Cricetulus griseus: one gene and its partners. The protein of the gene in region 1 interacts with the protein of each later gene in a pairwise test. Links are inferred from orthologs where the notes say so. Each region holds a gene or a part of one and is shown in the gene's direction. Other genes may lie near its edges.

What was found.
Region 2: the proteins of Ube2k (region 1) and Birc7 interact in binary tests that used the Homo sapiens proteins (3 or more experiments, as listed by UniProt). The link is inferred for Cricetulus griseus from reciprocal best matches to the Homo sapiens genes UBE2K and BIRC7.
Region 3: the proteins of Ube2k (region 1) and Trim31 interact in binary tests that used the Homo sapiens proteins (3 or more experiments, as listed by UniProt). The link is inferred for Cricetulus griseus from reciprocal best matches to the Homo sapiens genes UBE2K and TRIM31.

What each region holds. Positions count from the first base shown.
Region 1 is NW_023276807.1:132,628,283-132,631,711, forward strand, and holds part of Ube2k (ubiquitin-conjugating enzyme E2 K), read left to right. Parts: intron 1-1,542; coding exon 1,543-1,642; intron 1,643-3,429. UniProt on the Homo sapiens protein: Accepts ubiquitin from the E1 complex and catalyzes its covalent attachment to other proteins. In vitro, in the presence or in the absence of BRCA1-BARD1 E3 ubiquitin-protein ligase complex, catalyzes the synthesis of 'Lys-48'-linked polyubiquitin chains.
Region 2 is NC_048599.1:975,520-979,271, reverse strand, and holds the start of Birc7 (baculoviral IAP repeat-containing protein 7), read left to right. Parts: upstream 1-1,371; 5' UTR 1,372-1,436; coding exon 1,437-1,803; intron 1,804-3,090; coding exon 3,091-3,190; intron 3,191-3,556; coding exon 3,557-3,635; intron 3,636-3,716; coding exon 3,717-3,752.
Region 3 is NW_023276806.1:228,838,746-228,842,397, reverse strand, and holds part of Trim31 (E3 ubiquitin-protein ligase TRIM31), read left to right. Parts: intron 1-1,035; coding exon 1,036-1,058; intron 1,059-1,354; coding exon 1,355-1,470; intron 1,471-2,606; coding exon 2,607-2,681; intron 2,682-3,561; coding exon 3,562-3,603; intron 3,604-3,652.

The sequences.
Region 1 (3,429 bases):
TTCAACTGAGTTCTGGGGATGAACTTCAGTCTTGAGGCTGGTGTCATGAGTGTTTTTATCCACTTAGACATCTTATCAACTTCTGTGCTAAAATTTAGTATTACAGCTCTTGGTGGAAAATTAACATTGATGCTCTTAGGAAATTGAACACCTAGGTCTAGGTGGGGGGAGGAAAAAGAAAACATGGTTTGTTTTGTCAGCTAGGATATAGAACTATGTAGCTGTTTTTAAAGGTTTTGTTTTAGGACAGCATCTGTGTAGCTGAGGTGCTAAAACTGTGGGCCAAGCTGGTCTTGAACTCTTGCCTGCCTCTGCCTACAGTGATCTTTAGAGTAAAGGCTAGTACTACCCACCTTTGTGGTTGTTTTGTTTTGTTTTGTTTTCGAGACAGGGTTTCTCTGTGTATCTTTGGAGTCTATCCTGGCACTTGGCTCTGGAGACCAGGCTGGCCTCTGCCTCCTGAGTGCTAGGACTAAAGGCGTGCGCCACTAATGTCCGGCAATCCAGCTGTGTTTTCAAAGCTTTTAAAAGAACTCTGTGTCTTAAATGCTAGTTTAGCAGGTCAGCCTGTTTTTTGGTGTTTGCTGCTGTTGTCTGAGACACGTCTCAGTGTAACTCACAACCCTTTATGTAGGGACCTAAACTTAGGTTCTCTGCCAAAGCAGTACACATGCATAACTGTGAACCATCTCTCCAACCCCAAGTGATGATACTTTAAACAAAAATTTGTCCTATTTTGGAATATAACAGACTTATTTTGGAACTTCTAAAGGGTACTTTATTTGCTTGTTTTATTTAGCGTGTTATTAAAAGAGGTGGCTGGAGAGGTGGGTCAGTGGTTAAAGGCATTACTGCTCTTTGAAGGACCCAAGTTGAATTTCCAATCCCCATGTTGGATGACATACAATTGTGTGTAGTTCCAGCTGGAGGGGATCAGCTGCTTCTGGCTTCTGTAGGCACCTGTACTTATATGCACATAAATGAATATTCTTACAATTCAAAACAATAAAACTTTCAAAATCCCCATGTTAATATTAATAACTTTAATTATCTCTTTACTAAGAAATATGGGTAAGGGACTGGAGAGGCTGCTTAGTGGGTAAGAGCATGCGTTCCTGCAGAGGACTTGGCTTTGGTTCCTAGCACCCAAACAGCAGTTTATGATATCTGTAACTCGGAGTTCTAGGGGATCCAGAACCCTCTTCTGACCTTCTTGGGCATCAGGCACTCAGGTGCACACACATACATGGAGACAAAACACTCATACACTTAAAACCTAAAATATTCTGTTTAAGAAGAGAATGAATTATAAATGGAACCATTAGATAAAGCTTACAAGATAGGTAAGAGTAACAAAAAGAAAAAGTGAAGTCAGATAAGAATACAGTGATTTAAATTATCGAAGAAATAGGCTCATTGTAAGAAAAAAATGGCAATTATACACACATTAGTTAACTCTTATTTAAATTCAGAAAACATACACTTTGTTTAGGTCGTTCAGCACCCCCTTTAAGTGGTATGTTTTCCTATTTTGAAATTTAGGGCAGCAGCAATGACTCTGCGCACGGTATTATTGTCATTGCAAGCACTGTTGGCAGCTGCAGAACCAGATGACCCCCAAGATGCAGTAGTAGCAAATCAGGTAAGAAGGAAGTTTTTGAAAGACTTTCTTAGACCTGTGTATATGGATTTTAATATTTGATGTCAGCATATGAACATTCTATATTGGTACTAAATTTGGAAATGGTTTCATTGGATACATGACAGATGCTTTTCCCTTATGTATGATTGAATTCCATAGTGAGCACCTGTGTAGATTCTACAGTTAGCATTTACCACATGCACTTTATCATTTGTGCACTTTTGTAACCCTCTTTCTATACCTTACTGGCTTCTTCCTGGTGGTGATCATAATAACCTCCCACCACAGAAGTGGAGCTGATGGTAGTGGCATTGCAATGGTTTTCATGGGTGTTGAATGGAGAACTTTTTCCTTTTCTTTAATGCCTCTAAGGGTAAGGTAAGGTACATTCACACTGGCTGGTTTGGGCAATCTCATTTTATAGGAACAGAGTCATAACCATGTGTTTATTTTGATATCCAGTCACACTGTCTGTGGTTTGAAAGGTTTAAATTGTTAAAATCTATGTTTTAGTTCACCAACCTCTACTTTAAAGTATTCTGATTTACTGAGCATTTTTATTGTTAAACATCTCTCAATTTATGAAATACTTTCCTCTTCTCTCCCTATTTTTAAAGTTGATTCCCTGTCTCTGTCTCTCTAAGACATGGTTTATCTGTGTAACAGTCCTCCTGGCTGGCTGTTCTTGAAAATACAAAGATCCACTTGCCTCTGCCTTTTTGGCCATTGTTGTTCACTTTTTTTTTTTTTTTTTCCTTCCTTTTCGAGACAGGGTTTCTCTGTGTAGCTTTGAAGCCTATCCTGGCACTCGCTCTGGAGACCAGGCTGGCCTCGAACTCAGAGATCTCCCTGCCTCTGCCTCCTGAGTGCTGGTACTAAAGGCGTGCGCCACCAGTGCCCGGCCTGTTAATCACTTTTAATGAGAGCTATTGGCTCCTACTGTAGTTCCCCTTCCATTGTATGCACTCCCTGGATGATCAAAGCACCGTGCTTGACCTCTGAACCCCAGATCCTGCCTGTGTGGAGGTGTACTCTAATCCCAGCCATTGGCAGGCAGACACAGGTGGACCTCTGTGAGTTCATGGTCAGCCTGCTGTACTAAGTAAATTCCAGACCAGACAGAGTTAAAAAGTAAGACCCTGTTTCAAAACTAACAACCCAAATCAACTGTTATTCACTCATGACCTAACACTTACATTTCAGAGGTTTTCCATGATTTAAGCTATTGAACATGTTTTAACTCATAATGTTATTCGAATTCATGAATTTTTGGGATTGTAATCATTTTAATTTTTATACTGTTTTCCTTGTTTCTCCTTTGGGAAACATTTCTTATCGAATATCCTTATATTTTTTAGAACTGTCCCTGTGTATGTGTGCTTGCGAACATACTTGCTTGATGTCTAAGCGTGGGCATAGGTACCTCACAGCAGCCATGTTACCTAAGTTTCAGGCTTCAAACTGTTCTTGTATTTGTTTTTTTCCTTTGAGATAGGGTTTCTCTTTGTAGCTCAAATTGTCCTGGAACTTGCTTTGTAGATCAGGCTGGCCTCAAAGTCACAGATCCACCTATTTCTGACTCCTGAGTGTTGGGATTAAAGGTGTATGCCACCACTGCCAGGCTTTTAGTTATCAAATTCAACTTGTCAGGCTTATGCGGTGTCCTTAGCTGCTGAACTATCTTCCCGGCCCAAATTTCTTTATCCTTAAGTTCTTTAAGAACAAAACAAAAGGACTTATTTTTAAAATTATATATATATGTGTGTCTTTGGGTATGAGCATTTGAG
Region 2 (3,752 bases), on another chromosome or scaffold:
TTCTGGGAGAAGCCACGGTTGGTGGCTCCTGGTAGGTTGGCCATGTTTCAGTGGATGTTGCCACACCCACGAATATAGGGACAACACAAACTGGACTCAGTGGGTAAACATTTAAAAATAAATAAAAAGAGGAGATGAAGTTGGGATGGGAGTGGAAAGACAGGGATGGACATGGAAGGAGGTAGGGGGAGAAGTAGGGGTGAGTATGACCAAAAAGAACTGTCTGGAGTCTGCCTTCCTTCCTTCCTTCCTTCCTTCCTCCTTCCTTCCTTCCTTCCTTCCTTCCTTCCTTCCTTCCTTCCTTCCTTCCTTCCAACTGTGTTTCTCTGTGTAGCCCTGGATGTCCTGGAACTCATTCTGTAGATGAGGCTGGCCTCCAGCTTAGAGATTTGCCTGCCTCTGACTCCTGAGTGCTCACCATGTTAAATGTTTCACCAGCGTGAAGAGCTACTTACAGGTGAGGAGTTTGTGCGGCTATCTGGGTACAGTGCCAGCTTGGGCAGAGCTGGCTCCTTGGTCTTCTTCTCTGCCCCTTCCAGTAGTCTTGAGGACTTTTGTTTTACTAACCTGTAGCTATGGCCTCTCTGGGGTTATGCCTCTCCTCTCTGTTCTGTTAGGTCTGTGACAATGGAGTCCCTCACCTGGGGCTTGTTAGTGGAGACCAGGTGCCTGGAACCAGTCCTGAGGCAGAGCTCACTTAGGGAGGCAGTATCCCCTGTAACAGTGCAGATAGAGACCTGTGCTGGCCTGGAGCAAACACAATCTAAAACTTGAGCTCCTCCCAGACCATGCCCCACCCTTGATTTGACTCTAGCCTGTCCAGATAGAAAGAGGGCAGCCTGAGACCAGTTAGGATAGGCAGGCTGACTCTGACCCAGGGCTGAGCCAAACAGGGATTGCCTACATGCTAGGGACAGGGATAAGCAGGTGATATCATCCTTGAACATCAGGACAGGCTTGATATGGAAGGAATGTGGTTGGGGTTGCATACTGTCCTGGACAATCTAGCTTTCTACCTTGCAGGCCCCTGTCTGGATTTATCTATCTCTACCCAGAACTGAACCCTGAATAGCTGGATTCCGCCCCCCCCCCATTTTTTTGTCAGTACCTATGATTTGCTTCCAGAGGCTTAGAGGATGCTGTTAGAGGGATCCCCAAGCTCTGCCCCTCCTCCTATTTAGAGATGCTTTCAGCACAGTGGAGTACCGCCTTTGTTAGGCGCCTGCCAGGAGGCCCCATGACACATTCACTGCAGAGAGCACGTGGCCACCACTCTGGCCTCTTTCAGAAAGTGGCACATCCCTGGACACACTACCACATCTGAGCATCTAGTGGTGTCTGCCTGTAGTTAGGAGCAGGGGTCACCACAGCTTCTAGAAAGGGCTGCTAGAGTCAGGAGCTGGAGGTAAGTCACCAGGCACATTCCAGGCTTGGTGATGTTCTCTCCTGAAGACTTGCTCAGAGCTGCTGTTCTCTCCATGGGGCCTGAGGGTAGGGCCAGGGACTTATTCTGTAGCCCAGAACTTAGTCACAGGGAAGATAGCAACAGCCTCACCCAGGAGCAGTACAGATCCCACCGCAGACGGAGCCATGTCTCGGGTCAGGACTGCCTAGATGGGCAGATCTTGGGCCAGTTGCGCCCCCTGTCAGAAGAGGAAGAATCCACTGGAGCTACCTTCCTTGGGGAGCCCGCCTTCCCTGAGATGGATTCAGAGGATCTCCGCCTGGCTTCCTTCTTCGACTGGCCATCCACTGCTGGGATTCAGCCAGAACCATTGGCTGCTGCTGGCTTCTTCCATACAGGTAAGTCTTGGGGTCTTTCTGCTGTGGTCTGGAGGCTAATTAGCACTCTTCCAGGCTGAGAGTTCTGTCCATTCCTGCCCTGAGGGAGGAGCTGATGAAAGGTAGTCCTGTTATTTCTGCCTGGCCAGGGCTTGGGATCTAATGTAGTCAAAAGCCACTATGAGATCATGGGCTTGTGGTGGCCTTGTCCAGAAGGCCACTCAGCAGGTGGTTTCACCTGAATTAGATGGTTCTGTGGATTCCCCATACTACTTCAGGGATCTCCACTGCTATCTGGGAGCCTTGCAGGCTTGGTTATAGAGGTGATTATCCCCTTTCATTCCAGGACAAATGGAGGAACATGTACCTATGGATGCAGTGGTTAGCTTAAACATCCCCTGATTTGTACCCCTGTAGGTAATCCTCCAGGCTTCCCATGTACCAGGCTAGTGCAGGGAAATCCTTTGAGTAGCTGTTTTAGTTACAAACAGACAACTTTAGTTTGGGCTGCTCCTCACTCACGGTAGGGGTCAGGTTCCAGCTTTTTCTCTTTCTGGTTGAGGAAAAAGAGGCAGGGAGACCCACGGAGAGGCTTTGTAAGTAGGAGCATAGCCAGAGAAACTATCTCCGATGAGGCTAGCAAGGGAGGAATTATTTATTTTCCTTGCACTGGTCAGGCAAGAGCCCAAACTGATATAGGGCAACTGGACACTGGTCAGGAAGGGTTAATGGCTGGGACAGTTAGAGCCTCCTTGAAAAGAAATGTTCCTGGGGCCAACATATGTTAGGGGGATTTTGTGGATTGTGGGTGCCTGCTGTGGGAGATGCCTGTAAGTCCTGTTTATAATTTCTGCACAAGGTCATGAAGGACACATCTCCCCATGGTTGGAGGAGGGGCAGAGAGCAGAGATGAGGAAGGCCTGAACCACTAAAACCAAGCCTAATTATAAACCAGTGTGGGAGGGGTCACCTCCTTATCCTGTCACTAGGAGTCCTTTTTGGATGCCCCGAATTTCCCAGGCTACAGATGCTCTAAGCCTTTGGCCCTACCCTACCCCCATGCCCTGAGAGCAACATAAATGCTAGCTCAGCTTTCCAGAATACTCTAGGGCCCTCCTGACACATGACCCAGGCATTGTCTTCATTTGTCTTTGAGACAAGAGAGATGCCCATGTGTGCCTTGCTCCCTCCTTGTCAACCTGCTGGTAGATCCCAGCCCTGCCTGTCCAAGCTCTGATGGCCATGGAGGGACACTCTGGGGATGCCAGCTAGGTGGAGTTACTAGCCATGTGTCTCTGCCATACCCAGGCCAGCAGGACAAGGTGAGATGTTTCTTCTGCTATGGGGGTCTGCAGAGCTGGGAGCATGGGGATGACCCTTGGACAGAGCATGCCCGATGGTTCCCCAGGTAAGGACCAGGTGGACTGATGCAGGTCCCATCAGTGAAAAGGGCCCTAAAGAATTCTGTTCAGCCTTCCCATCTCCCACAGTCCCAGAACATCAGGATCTCTCGAGGGTAGCAGACAACCCCACTCTTCATGGAGCTCTCTCTGGAGGGGCTGCTACAATGGTCATTCTCCCATTGCTATCCTTTTCTAAGTGCTCAGAGCCCATCTCCTGATAGCTTTCCCAGGTCTCCCTAGGGAATATAGCCATGACTATCTGCCATAGGGCATAATGGGTTGCACGGGAACAGAAGGCATGGCTTCCGGGGCTTGAATATGACAGTGGGGTTCTAAGAGTCCAGTCCTGCCTCCTGAGATTTCTTCTCCAGGTGTCAGTTCCTGCTACAGTCAAAAGGAAGGGACTTTGTGGAAAGAATCCAGGCTTGCACCCCCTTGCTTGGCTCCTGGGTAAGTCCATCTGTCCTCAGGACTCAGGTGGGTTGGCAGTCTCTGCTATGTTTACTTATGGCATTGATGGTTTTCCAACAGGACCCATGGGAAGAGCCAGAAGATACAGTCCCTGCT
Region 3 (3,652 bases), on another chromosome or scaffold:
TGCTGTGGCCTAACAGCTCCTAATATCTGGTTCCTCTGAGGCCTTTGTCCCCTCCACTCCCTGAAAGGACATTAAAGTCAGATACTTTCCTTTCCTGAGGGATTTATTTCCCTGAGGCTCCCACCGACCCCATCATAGAATCCACGACCTTTATCTTTCCTACGTTAAGTGAGCACTTTTGATAGAGCTCCACTCCAGGTTTTAAAGGGAAGCCTGTCATTCCCCACAAGGCTCCACTCATACTATCTCTGACACAGTGTGCTGTTCTCTCTAATGACCTTTACTACTTTTTATTGCCTTCTGGAACAAATCCACCAACTGCTACTCTTCTTCACCTAACCCAGAAGTTCTCAACCTGTGTGGCTAGATCCCTCTTGTGGGCGGGTTCCACTGACTCTTTCACAGGGGCCACCCGAGACTATGGAAAATATTAGATATTTTCATTCCAAGTTATAAGAGTATCAGATTTACAGTTATGATGTAGCAATGAAAATAATTTTATGGTGTGGGGGGTGGGTCACCACAACATAAGGAACTATATTAAAGGCTAGCAGCATTAGGAAGGTTGAGAACTGAAACCCCTCCTGTAATTCAGGACACTGAGGTAAGAGGACTGCTGCTAGTCCAAAGCTGACATGAGCAAAGATCAAGACACTGTCTCAAACAGCTGGGCACAGTGTCTCACACGTGTAATTCTAGCACTCCAGAGGTAGGAGGGTTCCCTAGATCACTAGAGTTCAAGGTCAGCTAGGACACACACACCCATACAAGCACACGGCACACACACACACAGGCACACGCACACAGGCACACACATATATAGAGGCATGTTCACACACAGAAACACACATGCAAACAGAGGCATGTTCACACACAGAAACACACATGCATACAAAGGCATGTTCACACAACAGGCAGAAGAGAGAAAGGACGGAAAACTGGGGTGTCCTCACTCTGCTTCTAGCTGAGTCTGAACCCCTTCTTTGGCACCTGTGACTCTGGCAAGCTCTGATAAGTTCTCTCTTTCTCTTCCAGGGCATCATAGACAACTTGAGCAGGTATGATGGGCGTCCCAGTGTACCATGCTTTCTGGTTCACTTGCACATACAACATTCAGCCTATTTCCAAATATGTTCACATCCCCCAATAACTCTGCTATAAATGACTTAGGCTGCAGATGGGGAAGACCAAACTGGCCACAGCAGCACAGTAGCTTTTTTTATTTTCACCATATTCCCATCCTGGCCTCCTGACACTCAGCTTCCTGGCTCTACCCCAGAAACCACCTCCCAGACCCTTGCTGCCCACTCTCTGTCCCCTGAACTCACCACTCAGATCAACATTATCTTCACAGGAGTGTGGAATTTAAGTTTCTCAATCCAACCCCAGTTCCTGAGGACCTGGAGAGAAAAACCAGGGAAGCAATAGCAAGACATGCAGTCATCATAAAAAGCCTGGAGGGATTAAAAGGTGAGGTGTAGCTGCCACTGCCTGTGCTTATCTGCCTCAGGATTCTTTCCATCACCCCAGACGCTGCCTGAACTCTCTTGGTGCTAGCCCCTAAGCCTGTCAGAAGCTAAGCTGAAAGCTGGGCAGTTTCAAAGCATCATTATCCAGAAATTTCTCATGCTACAGCCCCAAAGCCAAAGCACTTCTTCTCTGGGAATTTTTCCTTGATTACTAGGTGGTGAACATGGGGCTAGAAGCATGTTTCCAATTTGTTAGCTGCTGGCCACATGTACCCCTGGGCACCAGAATTACAGCATTCACACATAGTGCAGGTAAAGAATAAACATTGACTCTGAAAGGCTTAATATTAAAATAGAACATAAGATATAATAATGAAAACAAAAGCAAACGGAAGTACTGTCCAGGGTAGTCTCTTATGGAAGAGTTCAATGGCCTTCCCATTTGAGCCTTCTAAGCATCTGGGACTCCAGCACCCAGCACTGTGCCTGGTAGCAGTAAGCCTTTATCCTACAAGCTGAAATGACAGTGTTTCTTAACATTCTGAGCTGAAGAAAACACTATTTAAATTCATTTCTTTTTTAAAGTTCTATTTATTTTATTTGTATGGGTGTTGTGTATGCATGTATCATGTGCTTGTCTGGTGCCCATGGATGTCAGAAGAGGTTGTCAGACTCCCTGGGGTTGGAGTTCCAGTGGGTGCTGGTAGTCGGACTGGGTCCACTGGTGCTTTTAACTACTGAGGCCTCTCTCCAGCCCCCTTTTTCTTTCCTTTTGAGACACTGTGTAAATATCCCAGACTCTGAAACTCGCTACATACCGTGGACTAGCCCAAAAGTTGTCATCCTCCTGCATCAGCTTCCTGGGTGTCAGCATCTTTTAGGATTGCAAAATGGTATCTAGAAAATTCAAAATTCAGTGGCTCGTGTTTGTGGCTCTTAATACCTTTGTTCTGGACTGAGCTGTACTGGACAACCACCTCAGGGAGACCCTAGGGCAGCTCTCCCTGTTTGGCTGCCTTCTTGGTCCACTGAGACTATGAGAGGAACACCAATATCACTTCTCCCTGCCCATATCAGCAATCAGGGATTCACTGTGTGGTCCTGGTTGCCTCTATATCCTTCACCCTCTCCTCGTAGACAACCTGAAGACTGAAGGGAAGAAAGATAAAAGCGCGTTCCTGGACAGCCTGAGTAAACAGGAGATGGAAAGATGTAAGTGTGTGCTAACCCTGCTGTTTGGGGAAAGTGAAGAATACAAGAGGAAGAGTTCTCTCTTTAGGGGGAGGACTGAGGGAGGAAGGTCCAGTGTGGGTGAACACCAATAAAGAACAAACTTACAGAATTGTTTTAGATTTTATGTGTAGCCAATCAGAGTGACACCAAACCAAAGACCAGAAAAAGCAAAGCAGCCAGCCACGAGACAGTTCTTATTTCTACCAAGGCTTGGGGCCAAAAGGGGTAATTCTGTCCTCAGCATGACTGCAGACTGAATACACTACACTCCTGTCTCCACCTGTCTTATATTCCTGCCTAGTGCTGGGATTAAAGGCATGGGATCCCAAGTGCTGAGATCACCTTGGTATGAGCTCTGTTTCTCTTTTAGACTGATTCACTCTCATGTAGCCCTTGGTGGCCTTGAACTAACAGAGATCCATCTGCCTCTGCCTCCCGAGTGCTGAGATTAAAGGTGTGGCCACCCTGCTTGTCCTCTACGGCTAACTAGTGGCTTGGGTGTGTGGCTAATTAGTGGCACTTAGTGTGTGTGTGTGTGTGTGTGTGTGTGTGTGTGTGTGTGGCTAACTAGTGGCTTAGCTCTTAACTAGGTGTGTGGCTAACTAGTGGCTTAGCTCTGCACTCTGATCTTCAGGCAAGCTTTATTTGTTAGATTACAGACAATGTATCACTACACAGCAAAACTGAGGAGTGGAGGAGACCCACTGAGACAATATCCTGTAATGATGTCATCTGAGGTGGTTCAGCTATGAGGGTAGCTAGGAAAAAGGTCAGGTTCAGCCTGCCATCCTCAATATGCCTTTTAATTTATAACCTCTTGCTATCAACCTAAAATTTGTTTTCTCTCTCCAATTTCTAGGGCACCTGTTACAGAAGAATAACTCAGACTTGCACAACTCAGGTAGGAATACTGCCTGGCACACTGGTCTTCCTGTAGGGAAGCAAGGGGC